2 linked regions of the Arabidopsis thaliana genome follow. The protein of the gene in region 1 interacts with the protein of each later gene in a biochemical or structural test. Each region holds a gene or a part of one and is shown on either strand. Other genes may lie near its edges.

The links.
Region 2: the proteins of FY (region 1) and FCA form a complex in vitro, tested with the Arabidopsis thaliana proteins (3 studies listed by BioGRID).

What each region holds. Positions count from the first base shown.
Region 1 is NC_003076.8:4,325,963-4,333,803, forward strand, and holds FY (Transducin/WD40 repeat-like superfamily protein), read right to left. Parts: upstream 6,010-7,841; 5' UTR 5,666-6,009; exon of another isoform or gene 5,596-5,665; coding exon of another isoform or gene 5,560-5,595; coding exon 5,472-5,559; intron 5,392-5,471; coding exon 5,300-5,391; intron 5,091-5,299; coding exon 4,953-5,090; intron 4,875-4,952; coding exon 4,770-4,874; intron 4,624-4,769; coding exon 4,528-4,623; intron 4,424-4,527; coding exon 4,341-4,423; intron 4,228-4,340; coding exon 4,156-4,227; intron 4,085-4,155; coding exon 3,987-4,084; intron 3,669-3,986; coding exon 3,609-3,668; intron 3,500-3,608; coding exon 3,439-3,499; intron 3,350-3,438; coding exon 3,262-3,349; intron 3,147-3,261; coding exon 3,083-3,146; intron 2,833-3,082; coding exon 2,754-2,832; intron 2,532-2,753; coding exon 2,442-2,531; intron 2,317-2,441; coding exon 2,234-2,316; intron 1,757-2,233; coding exon 1,308-1,756; intron 1,156-1,307; coding exon 985-1,155; coding exon of another isoform or gene 967-984; exon of another isoform or gene 817-966; intron 736-816; and 4 more.
Region 2 is NC_003075.7:9,211,746-9,216,658, reverse strand, and holds the start of FCA (flowering time control protein FCA), read left to right. Parts: upstream 1-1,833; 5' UTR 1,834-2,246; coding exon 2,247-2,580; intron 2,581-2,835; coding exon 2,836-2,906; intron 2,907-2,993; coding exon 2,994-3,072; exon of another isoform or gene 3,073-4,913. Other genes in the region: SPH1 (S-protein homologue 1), read left to right, coding at 524-979. UniProt on the Arabidopsis thaliana protein: Plays a major role in the promotion of the transition of the vegetative meristem to reproductive development. Plays a role in the regulation of flowering time in the autonomous flowering pathway by decreasing FLOWERING LOCUS C mRNA levels.

The sequences.
Region 1 (7,841 bases):
GGTTTTCTCTCTTCCTCAATAGAGATCCTCCTCAAGTCTGATGCTTTCTCCTTGTGCAGGTTTTCAAAGGGTCGGGCTTTGGTGTTCTAGCTCCTTCGCCGTCTGCTGTGGTGGCTTGGGTCTTCTGGGCTTCTGCCTTTGATCTAGCCTTTTAAACTTGTATTTGGTTGTTTTTTGTTCTTTCAGGCCTGCGTGCTGTGTTGGCCTTTTGGCTTTGTATTGCAACTTTTTTTGGTTAATTGGAAATTTATGAAAAAAAAAAAAAAAAAAAAAAAAGTTTGTCGGGTTAACGAAAACTAGAGTATTTGACATGTGAAGCCACTAAAACTTCGTAACTTGTTCACATTAAGTATCAAAACTAGAGTATTATGACTGTGGTCACTTAACATAAAATATATGAATTTAATTATTAAAAATACAAAAAAGACATGTGCCATAAATCATAGTATTTCATCAATACTTTCTCCACATGGAAGTTGTTACTATGCTCAAATATTTTACGGGTGCAAAAAATTCTAATACAAATTATTTGCATATTGGAACAGAACAAAAACCTTTTTTTTTTATGTTTTGTTTTATAGAAACGAAATTTGAATCCCATATAATAGTTTTACTTCAATCGTTTTATCCCGCAGACAGTGCGGTTGTAAACTAATGTACTAATACAACGGCTGCCTACTGATGTTGCTGATTGTTGTTTGGTGGAGGGCCAGGAGGTAAAGGTGGCTGCTGCTGCTGCACGAAATAAAATATAGACAACGGATTAGTCAACGGATTATGCTATTTTAGCTCTACATTTTCAACATCTAATCATACCATTGAACCTAGCTAGTGAGTTTAAAACTAGCTGAGAAAGTTGTATTGTGGTTCAATCGTATCAGGTGTTTTGCATTGTTGTGTAGACATTTTGCCTATTTGCACATATATACATGTGAAACCTTTACGGGTATACTAAATAACAAAAGACTAGTGTTTAAATGGGACCTGTTGGAAAGGGTTGTTGTAGCCTGGAATCATCTGTGGACGGTTGAAACCACCACGTCCTTGGGGATACATTTGGGGTCCGCCACTGTTTGGTTGTCCTTGAAATACTCCTGAAGGAGCACCCATAAAATGACTTTGCGACATCTGAGGATTCATGCCACCTTGCATTCCCTACTCCAACAACAAGTGAGGATTAATATCTCTTTCTACACCTCTCTAAGATATCACTAAGAAAATAAAACAAAGAGGAATCCAACACATGGGGTACCGACAAAAGCCAGGCTTAAGTTGTGGTTGAATTACAAGAGATCTGAGGGCCATACCATTGATCCAGGCATCTGATGAGACATAGGCATTGAGGGAGGTGGCATGTGACCGTGAGGAGGCATTTGCATAGGCCGGGGAAGATGATGAGGGTGCAATGGCATATGAGATGATGGTGGTAGCTGATGGTGAGGCATATTGGGCATTGGAAGCATTTGCTGGGGATGACCTTGGTGTTGTTGTTGTTGCTGATACCCTTGCTGCTGGCCACTTCCAAGAAGCGATGGGTGGGGACCAGGTGGCAAAGGAGGAGCCCCCAGTGCCATGGAACCTGGAAGAGGCTGTTTATGATCCCCTTGAGAGGATGCATCAAATGGCATTGCTATTCCTATTCCTGGGATAGTCCCCTCGTTCCGTGTCAACCCAGGCACAAATGCTCCAGGGATTGGCGATGCCTCAGATGGTTGGAAATTATCAGGTTGGCGACCAAAACCTTGTTCATTATAGCCTGATACAAATTACGCTTATCAGTACACACAAATCACATCTTCAATTTGTTAGTAAACACTAAATAAAAAACACTAATTTCTGACAAATGCAACTTGAAAGTACATGCTCAAAATTAAAACAGTAAGTGAGATACTAATGACCGAGTACTTGGGTCTGAGTTTTTAAAGCCTGTAGAAATCTGCACCTATATCAGATCAGCTCAGCTTGACCAGTCAAGTCTGTTCTTTTCTACAAAAAAATTCAGTTAATCACGGTGCCATATGGCTGGCCGAGCCTGAACCTTAAAAAGCCAAGGTCCATTTCGAACCAGCCATTATAGGAGTATATGACTGACCCTGCCAGGGCCTGACCAGTTAAGCCTATCACAACATCCTTACTACTGAGATGGATAAGGACATAGTAATTATGTACTACCCACAACCTATCCATCCCAATGCCTACTAAAAAATCAGATACTAATAGCCCAAAAACAAACCTTGGTTCTGCATAAGAACATCTCGGGGATTATCTGCAGGCCTGTTTCTGCACCAAAACTTGGTTGTGTGATCATTGCTACCACTGCAGATAATAGGGTTAAAAATCATTATCTGAAGCATTTAGTTATTCAAGAGCACAGGGAACCACAACACATCATAGAATAAAACTGTAAGGAACTCATAGCACCAGACTATTGAAATTGCTACCTGCAAAGAAGATATCCAATAGGATGCCATGCAAGATCCCAAACACTGTTATCATGAGCATTTGGGATTTCAATCTGCGGGTTTTCATGCCTGGGAATTAAGAAAAGTTTTCATAATTAGATACACCTCAAACAAAAACCACAAAATATAAGGTAAAGTAAGATGCTACTAGACTACTAGTATGTAGATGCATCATGACTGAATATAAAATGTAGAGAAGAAACATGATTTAAAAAACCCTTATAAGTGATTAAAACAATAGCAGCATGAACGAATAAATAAAACAGCATACTGCTGCACAACAGTACCTACCCCACAATCCAATGACAAATGGAGCCGTCAGAGCTCCCACTGACAAAATATTCTTCATGGCAGGGATGCCACGCCAAAGCTTAAAAAGAGTTAAGACAACTTTTAATTAGAAATAGTTGCAAATTAGAAATATCGAAGAAACAAATTGAAAACTCGCATCCATGGGATAATGTCTCATATGTCGACAAGTAAAGCATGGGTACAATGATAATCTTTCAAAGGCATATACTCTAGAGTCCTAGTCAATGTACAGAAAAGTAATTTGATGCGGCCAGTTTGTCTGATTTCACGTGTTTAAAACATGATCATTATAGAATTTGACAGCTTACATGTTACATCTTTCGTGTGCCCACGAAAGGATTGAAGCTCCTTCATAGTCCTTATATCATACAGCTGCAGATTACATGCATAAGTGTCATACAAATGCTTCCATAATGCAAGGAAAAAATCTCATTTACAAATCAATATCCCCCCCCCCCCCCCCCACCCAAAAGAAAGTGAGACTTACCTTAATTATCTGATCTTTCGAGGCCGTTAAAAGCCAATTGCCATTTTGGTTCCACTTCACGCTAAGTACTATGTTTTTGTGACCATGGCTGCAGAAGTAAGAATAGGCCATCAAATTCGTCAAAGCTTTGAACATGAAACTATAATAAAATTACATATTACATTATGTACTACTTACAGTGAGCAAAGCTCTCTCCCAGATCTAGTATCCCAGAGTTTGACAAGTTGGTCTTTTCCACCTGACAACACAGATTAAAGCGGTTAATGATCAGCCATAGAGAAGCTCTGAAATATACAGCGGTTTCTTTTTATTGCATTATTCAAATAGAAGTCTATAAAATAATGTACCAGAAACTAGTAGGGACTTTGTGGGGTGCCAGTCAACGCTCTTGACATCCCAACCATGGCCTGCCTGAGTTCAAAATATAAAGAACCCTTTGATTACTTCGAAAGTTCTCAAATATTACAAATATGAAGAAAACTGTGAAAACATGCCTCCAAAAGGATAGGAAACTTGTTATAAGCACCAATTTGGAACCTTTAAAACTAACTAACGTTACATGGCATGACACCAAAGCGAATCTCAATGACACCTTTTCCTATGTAGCCTAAGAATCCAATTCTAATAACGTACAGCACATCTCAAGCGGCCTTCTAAATTCAAATTAGAAGAGCAAGCAACAAAGAAATAAAGTATCTGCCGCCAATCTGTTCAAATAACATTACCGGTTAATGAGCTTTCATCTACGCACTTGGTAAAATCCCAGACTTTAACAGTCGTATCATCAGAACACGAACAGAACTTCAAATCTGTTTTACAAAAACTGTTGGATACACATTGTTCAGTTTTGAGAGATTCATTTAATGCAATTCAACATATCAAACTTTTTTTTACCTTAAATCGCGAATTGATTCCTTGTGAGCAGTTTTATTGGCTTTCACATTGTTCATATTGTTCTGCCAATACCTGATACATAAGAAACAATTGATCCTTATTGTCACAGCATTTGAATCATAGAATTCTGAGCTTCTCGTTTACAACATCATAAGTTAGGGACTGAAAGGGAAAAACAAATTTACTTTAATGTGCCTCCATCATCACCAGAAACCATATAATTTTCATTGTGGCTCCATACCATCGACCTAATAGGTTGATCATGTGCCTGATATTGACAACAAATTTAAACAGTCAATACCAGGAGCAGCAACTATAGAAGAATCAAAACAGAAGTTTCAACAGATTAGTTATACAATCTGAGAAACGAACCTGAAGAATCATTTCAAAATTAAAAGATTGCCCATTCCAAAGAGTAAACTCCCCACTTTGGGAGCCCGTGATAAGACGTCTTCCTGAAGGTGTCCACTAAATAAAAGAAACCCAATCAGCAATGATCCCATTAAGTTGGCATAATAGAGTTAAAACAAAGAAAGAAAGATGTTGCTTTCTTGAATAGATAAACATGGCAAACAGAGAATAATACAAAACACACAGCTGGTAGAGGGATATACCAATACACGGTTGATTGAACAACGGTTCTTGTTTAGAGATGCGTGAACAAACTTTGCAGCAAAGCTTGTTGAAGGATTATCCGAATAGGCAACTGTGGGAAGCATCTGAAGCATTGATATAAAAGTTAGATCAGTAAACCATTCAATCTTATTGCAAAACCCAGAAAAGCAAAGAAATCTAACATCAACTGCTGCAGCTGGGGTTGGTTGCAGAGTGGTCCTATCCCTTGAGTCTCGCTGCCATGTTCGAGCCTGAACAAAAACATATATGGAGTAAACACTCTCTACTTTTAGTTCCATATAAAGTATGAGTTCGTTGAACTACATATCCATATCAGTTCCATGACATAAAGACAATCCTATCTAATGGCTTTTGAGATAAAAAGGACCGAAGAATTCAACTGGGGAAAGCAGAGGCTATGAGTATATAGACCAAGACTAAAACTTTACAGAAAACAAGAGAAATATAATCAAGCAGTACAAAAGGTTCTAACAAAGAAATACTGTGAGCAGCAATGGGAATACATTACCTGAATATATCTAACAACGGTGCTGGTGTAATCAACAGCTCTTCTCTGTGTATGCTTTCTCATTCGTTTCGCCCCAAAACTGTCTACATTGGCTGCAACATCAGACAGAGAGACATTAAATCTCACAGTCATCACTAATCCGATAAAAGGAAGACGCTCAAAGTCTACTTACGGTCGAAGGGGCCAGATGGGTGGTGGTAGTCGGGATTGATGTTAGTGGAAGAAGCTGACGACTGCCGCATCATCGGTGGTTGTGGCATCTGTGAACCCCTGTGCATATCGCCGCCGGCGTACATTGTTGCCCACGGAGAACAGTGATTTATTCGAATCGAAGGGAAACTGCGAAAGTGTTCGAATTTAGGTTACCTTGAAACGAGCGTGGATCTCTCTTTAGGGTGTGCGTGTATCAAATTCGCGAATTGATGACAACCCAAGAGCAGAGAAGTACAATGGGTAGAGAAATGATGAGAAGTCGATAATGGAGTGAAGAGTAGAAATAAATCTTAGGGTTTTTTTTTCTTCCTTCTCGGCAAGCCAAACCCTCGATCGCCGGTCGGTTTTAACCGATAAGATTAATAAAATCATCAAACTAATCAAGAAGTCGATTGGTTTAGCTTTTTTAATCTCCACGATTTTTTTATTTTTTTTTTTATTTTTTTTTTTTTGGGTGTATGTTGTTACTTGGCCTACCCTATCAATTAGACACATATGTTCAGGCTGAACTATGTATTGCGAGTAGGAAATAACGGATGAGTTTGTTTAGTAAACCCATCCGTCGGCCTTCCGGTTGATCAACAAGCTCGAGGAGTGTATCTTAAGCAACTAACCGCGAGATGGCATGAAAAAGATCTGAAGAACTGTTGAGATCAACGAGATTCTAGGGTGGATACTGCGGATCGGGCAGGACACGTGAAGGACGACTATAAAAGAAAGAGGAAGAAGAATGAATAGAGGCATCGCCATTAACATTAAGAAAATCCTAGTATTGTATTCACATCGAACTCTAATGTCCCAAAGTGTGGTTTTTTCTAGTATTGTTGTTGTTTTACTGCTTATTTCACAATCATGACAGAGTGTGTGTATGAATTGTAGATGAAAACACACACATAATTCACGTATTCATAGTGGAACATATTGAATAAATATTCAACCCAAAGATAGTGGTGATGCAAATTAGTCTTTTTTTTTAAAACATTAAAATAACTAAATATTTGAAAGAGTTAAAAGTAAAAGAAAAAAAAACTGACACTAGTAAAACGAATTACAAAAATTCAGAAAATGTTACAATCTTTTTTTTTTTGGTTTAATGTTAAATTAAATGTTATAATCTTGTCATATTAGAACTTAAAATCTCCCAAATAACAAAAAAAAAAAAAAATCGATATACGTTATTCCAAACAAGATTCACTACATCCCAATGGCAATGCTATATGAAACACAATCCCAATCCGCTATTATATTCCACTACGAAACTTAATCATGTTAAAACCCTGTTTTGCACTTATAGAGTATAAATAGACTATGTTAACAGGTTTCAACATTTTTTTTTTTTTGGTTTAATGTTAAGATTTATACCAAATGAAAAAAGGTTTACATAGTACAATGAAACCCCAAAAACACACCGAGCTCTTGTGAAGAGAGACTAATGGAACACCATACATACATAAATATGAGCTTTGCCACACCTATAGTGGGGTACTAATACAACCAAAGTAGAATCCAAGGAGAGAGATAGTGGTAACTGATTCCTCCGGCGAGAAGGAGATGAGACGGTTACGCATTGTGCGATCAACGAGAATTTTTGTAGCGGAGAGAGAGGTAGCATCTGCTGAGAAATCTCTGCGGTTGCGCTCTTTCCAAATCATATAAACAGCGGTTTGAAGAAGAAGTTTTAAGATCTTACTTGCATAGTGCGGCGGAGAAGAATGTACACCAAGAACCCACATAGAAGCCAAGGGTAAAGAGAGTGGAGGATTCGGCGAAATCCTTCCAGCGAGCGAAATCCAAAGTGATCTAGAAAACTCACATTTGAAGAACAAGTGATCATGGGAATCAAGGCCAGAATCACACAGAACACAAGAACCATGTACATTCATACCCCACTGTAAAAGCCTATCTCTCGTTGTCAACCTTTCATGGGAAGCCATCCAAAGGATAAATGAAAACCTTGGGACAGATTCCTTAAACCAGACAGCTTTATGCCAAGCCACATGAGGAGAAATTTGTCTAATTTGCATCCAAGTTCCTTTCGAAGAGAATGTTTCAGAAAAAGTACCTGTGGGCTGCTTCCATTGGTACCAATCAGCACCTCTTAAAGGAGAAGGCGGGGCAACCGAGGACAAGCAAATCTGCAACTGCTCAGCTTGGTGAGATCTCGCATTGGGAAAATGCCATTGACCTTCATGTGTAGCTTCCCAAACGCTAGCATTTCTACTGATCCGAAGCTCTCTTGGGCCCAACTGACCAAAAAGCTCAATAAGGGGACCAAGGCTTGTCCAATAATCAAACCAGAAAGAGGCTTTCATACCGTCTCGCATCTGAC
Region 2 (4,913 bases), on another chromosome or scaffold:
CAATATATTTTTATTAATCCCAATAAAGTAACGTAAAAGGCAGAATACTTTACTAGTGTTATAATTTATATAGTTAACTAAAATTAGGTTTATGAAATACTATTTTACTAGAAATAAATACCCGATCGACCATGTTGAATTATTATTTTTATACATTAAATTTTTCGATTATATACTTCGAATTCTTGGGTCATAATCTAAATCTAAAAACTAATAACTTTTAAAATTGATTCACATAATAAATTCAAAACTAATAGCTTACACCACAATATAAATTAGTATTTTTTAATCTTAATATATTATGCCACAATCATCTACGTACTTGGATTATTATATGTACTAACCTTTCAGCTTCATTTCTAATTAACATGCAATCACTTAAATGATTTGCAGCATGACTCTTCATTAATGCAATGTAATAACATCAAAATTTAATTAAACGTCAATTACCGTTTCACTCTTCCATTATAAAAAGAAGTAACAAAAAAGTTCTCCCTAAAGATTTTGCTTGCCTGAAAAAAGTATGAATTGCATCAAACAATTTCTCTTGGCAATTTGCTTTTCTCTGGCCCTAACATGTCAAGACCATGTCTTAGTCGGCGGCACCACCACGAGAGACATTATAGTCCCGAAGATTTCTGAGTGGCAAGTCACGGTTGTTAACGGTTTGACAACTGGTGAAACTCTTTTCATCCATTGTAAATCTAAAGAAGATGATCTAGGTGAAATTAATCTGAAGTTTAGAAATAGATTTTCTTGGAACTTCGGAGAAAATATGCTTCACTCAACTTTTTTTTGGTGCTATATGAACAAAGATAATGGTCATATGAATGTAAACGTGTTTTGGGATGATGTTATCTTGTTCCATAGATGCGGTTGGAAGAATTGCATTTGGACTGCAAAAACTGATGGCCTTTATCTTTGGAATTCAGCGAGCGGTGAAGATGTATTGTCAAGAAAATGGGAAGTTGGATGGTGAAGCCATATTTTTGCTTTTTGGTAATTTTTTAGTACATGTATCTTGTTGTTTTTGGCAAAAAAAAAATTGAAATAATAAAAAACATTTGTTTTAACTTTCTCTCTTATTTTGTGTATTTTTCATCAATGATAGATTTTTTGTTTTAGTTCTTTATTTATAGGTCATTTAATTATTAGATTAATTTTCTGAGATAATAAGATCATAGATTAAATAACAATATTGTGTTTGTGATATATAGAGATTACATTTTACACTTATATATATTGGTAAGATTTCTTTTTGCTTTCAAACCATTAAAAACCTGTTAAACGATTAACTTGACTCAAGACAAAGCCATTGATTATTGACTCATGAATCTAGTGACTCATGATGAAGGAGACGAACAGTAAATATTCATTTGATTATTTTAGGTAAAAGGTAGTTCAGACCTAGTCATATATCCTCTAAATTCATATAGTGATGCAAGTATTTTGCATTACTTAGAACTTTATATTATTGATCACCCAACACATGATTTAATAAACGCCATGAAATGCATGTACTATATCAAAATGTTTCTGAAGCATATAGTTGACATGAGAATTTTGGATTGGACTTAAGAATGTGAGAGTTACCTGAAATGTCAATTTTTTTCCTTTTGTTAACGAAAACTCATTGGAACAATTGTATCCCCCTTTTGGCAGTATATAAATATATTGATGGCCCAAGTAGCTGTATTTTTCGTTATCAGCCAAGACTCAATAAAGTCTACCGGTCCAAATTTCAACTGAATCACCGGTCCAACCACTATTACCGTAACTAGACCGCTTTTTCTTTTTTACATTCGGACAAAAAAATCAAAATTTCGAGCAACTAAATTGATCTCATCTTCAATCAAATTCATCATCTTCGATACTCGTTTCTTCTCTCTTTGGTTTCATACAGATCCCAAATTTCTAGGGCTCCTAGTCCTTTGATTTCTTCGACTGGAATCGCAATTCCCCACTACGTCAAGCTGGACAGACACCGAAGGGATCGCCATGAGAGTGGCGGCTACGAGGATTCCTACCATAACCACCGAGCCCATCCCAGAGGTCCATCTCGTCCCTCAGATTCACGCTTCGAAGAGGATGATGATGATTTTCGCCGCCACCGTCGTCGTCGTGGAAGCAGCCCTAGCAATTATCGAATTGGAATTGGGGGCGGAGGAGGAGGTAATGGTGGTCGACGCTGGGAAGATGACACTCCTAAGGATTTTGATGGTCCCGGAGATGGAGGTTTCCGGCAGATGAATGGTCCCCCAGATAGAGTAGATTTTAAGCCTATGGGTCCTCACCATGGTGGAAGTTTTCGGCCTATGGGGTTTGCCTACGATGATGGTTTTCGTCCAATGGGTCCTAACGGTGGTGTGGGAGGAGAAGGGACACGGTCAATTGTTGGAGCTCGGTATAACTATCCCGCGAAGTATCCTCCTTCAGAGAGTCCAGACAGGAGGAGATTTATCGGTAAAGCAATGGAGTCTGATTATTCTGTAAGACCGACTACACCGCCGGTCCAGCAGCCTCTTTCCGGTCAGAAAAGAGGGTATCCTATCTCAGACCATGGCAGCTTTACTGGAACTGGTAAGCATGAGTTCACTCTTCTTTCTTCTATGTATATTTATTCTTGTAGTCTGTTAAGGTTCCTGAGTGTCTCTTATTTTTGTGGGAATCAATGATTAGAGTATTGAAAGGTAGTATGGTTGTTATGTTACTGTATTGTTGAAGGTTTTTCATGGGATCGACTCTAGAGGATCCTTTCGATTTTCCCATGTATGTGATAATCAAAACTATATGCCATCTTCATGTGTATCCTTATCTGGTTAATTTGATTTGCAGATGTCTCTGATCGTAGCAGTACAGTCAAGCTTTTTGTTGGATCTGTACCAAGGACAGCTACAGAAGAAGAAGTGAGTTAATCTTGGAAATCATTGTTATCTATATACTCATTACTGAGAACCTTTTCTAAATTTTTTCTGTTGGTTTTCATATTGTAGATCCGTCCCTATTTCGAACAGCATGGAAATGTTCTGGAGGTTGCTCTGATCAAGGACAAGAGAACTGGACAGCAGCAAGGTATGTCAATCTCCATTTTATTAGGAAATAGTCGTGAATTATACTTTTTAAAATTTCAGGTCTCCCTGAAAAGGCTGATGGGAAGCAACCCCAGTCTCATCATTGGCCTCCAATTGTTTGCAACAATTTTCGGGCTTATTGCTTATGCTTGCCAGCGTCTTATCTGTGTTCGATTCTGTCACAGAAGAAGGCTACCTGTGCTAAGAAAGGGTTTATGTACTTATGTTGGGCAAATAGATTTCGCTACTTGTGTGTATTCTAGAACTTTAGATGTGTTTGAAAAGTGTAGAATTTATTGAGGGTGTTTTAGAGTTGGAGTTAATGTACAGAGAACTGAATTTTGCTGTTGCCTTTATAGTGGGAATTGGTTATAAGAACATCGCTATTTTCCTCTCCTATTGAAATTCATTTTCTTTACTCTTCCTCTAGATGGATTGAAGATGTTGTGTATGGTCTTGACAGGATGAATGTATTTTTTTAAGTTGGTAGTTTGATAAGGACATGAGGTTCAAAAGATGGTTTCTTGATTTGCCACTCCTGCTGGTCAAAGATTTGGCCGTCTTTCTAATTTTATCATGTTGGAGGTTTGGCGTCTTCATTTTCTTTCATATCAATTTATGGGTGTGCTGTCTATTGGTTAATGATGGCATTCCTTTTACCTTTTTGGATGAGTGATGCTGGAATGAATGCGTTTCTCCTTTTCTTTTGTTGATGGCCTGAGGAACTATGATGGCTATATTTCTTTCCACTCTCTTTGAATGGCCTGAAATGTGTGCTTTCTGTATGGTCGTCCCTCTCAATTTCTTGGATGGCTTGTGATGTGATATACCATCTCTCGTCATAGGTGAATGAATGATTTGTTTAGTAGTTCTTATGTATGTATTTTGTATGTTCCCACGTCTCTATTCCTTGGATGGCTTGTGATGTGATATACCATCTCTCGTCATAGATGAATGAATATTTTGTTGAGTAGCTCTTATGTCTGTATGGTGGCCCTTGCAGTGCTGATCGATATTTATGTGGAAGAAATGTTTGATGATAGATTTTTTTTGTATGCTCCCTTTTCGCTAATCAAGCCTTTGTGCTTGCAAGGTGCAACTGTTATTTTATTATTGAATTTCCTGTTCTACTACTCCATTTAGTTCTGTCTCTATTTTGTCAGTGTGAAGAAATACTAGACGATGAATGGTGTGTTTGTACGTGCATAGTTATTTATAAATTCTTGACTTTCCAAGAAGTTATTATTTCTATAACTGCTACACCTTTGTGGATGGCAGAACAAATGCATCTGATTGTGGTGACATAAACACTTTTGATCGCGGTTGAATGTACTAGATTCCATACAACTCTTTCTTCAGCCTTGTGAAATATTATTATGTTAGGTGGTGCAAACATATGGAAGGAACCTGATTGTTTTAGTTTCTTAGAATAGTTTCTGATGTTAATACAGCATGTTGACTTCACTCTCTTGCCCTTGATCAATCAGCATCAGGCAGGGGCCTAATTATGTATTACATGAAGCAATCGTATTCTTTTCTGAATTAGATTTTTTTCCAATGAGTTATCTTGCCCATAACTGTAGTTCTTTATTTGAAGTCTTCAAATGCTTGATGTATGGTGACGAAAATGTGTATATGTTTTGGTTTTGATTATCCGCTACTCATCAATTATTGAGATTCTTACATACTGAATCCGTTACTTTGGACCTATAGTTATGTTTTATGTTGCTAATTAACTTGTACATGTTTCTAGATTTTCTTTCAAATGGATCCTGCTTGGACAAATGCAGCCACCCTTTGTCTGAAAGGCCCTCTTGTAGATATGTTATCTGCAGATACTGA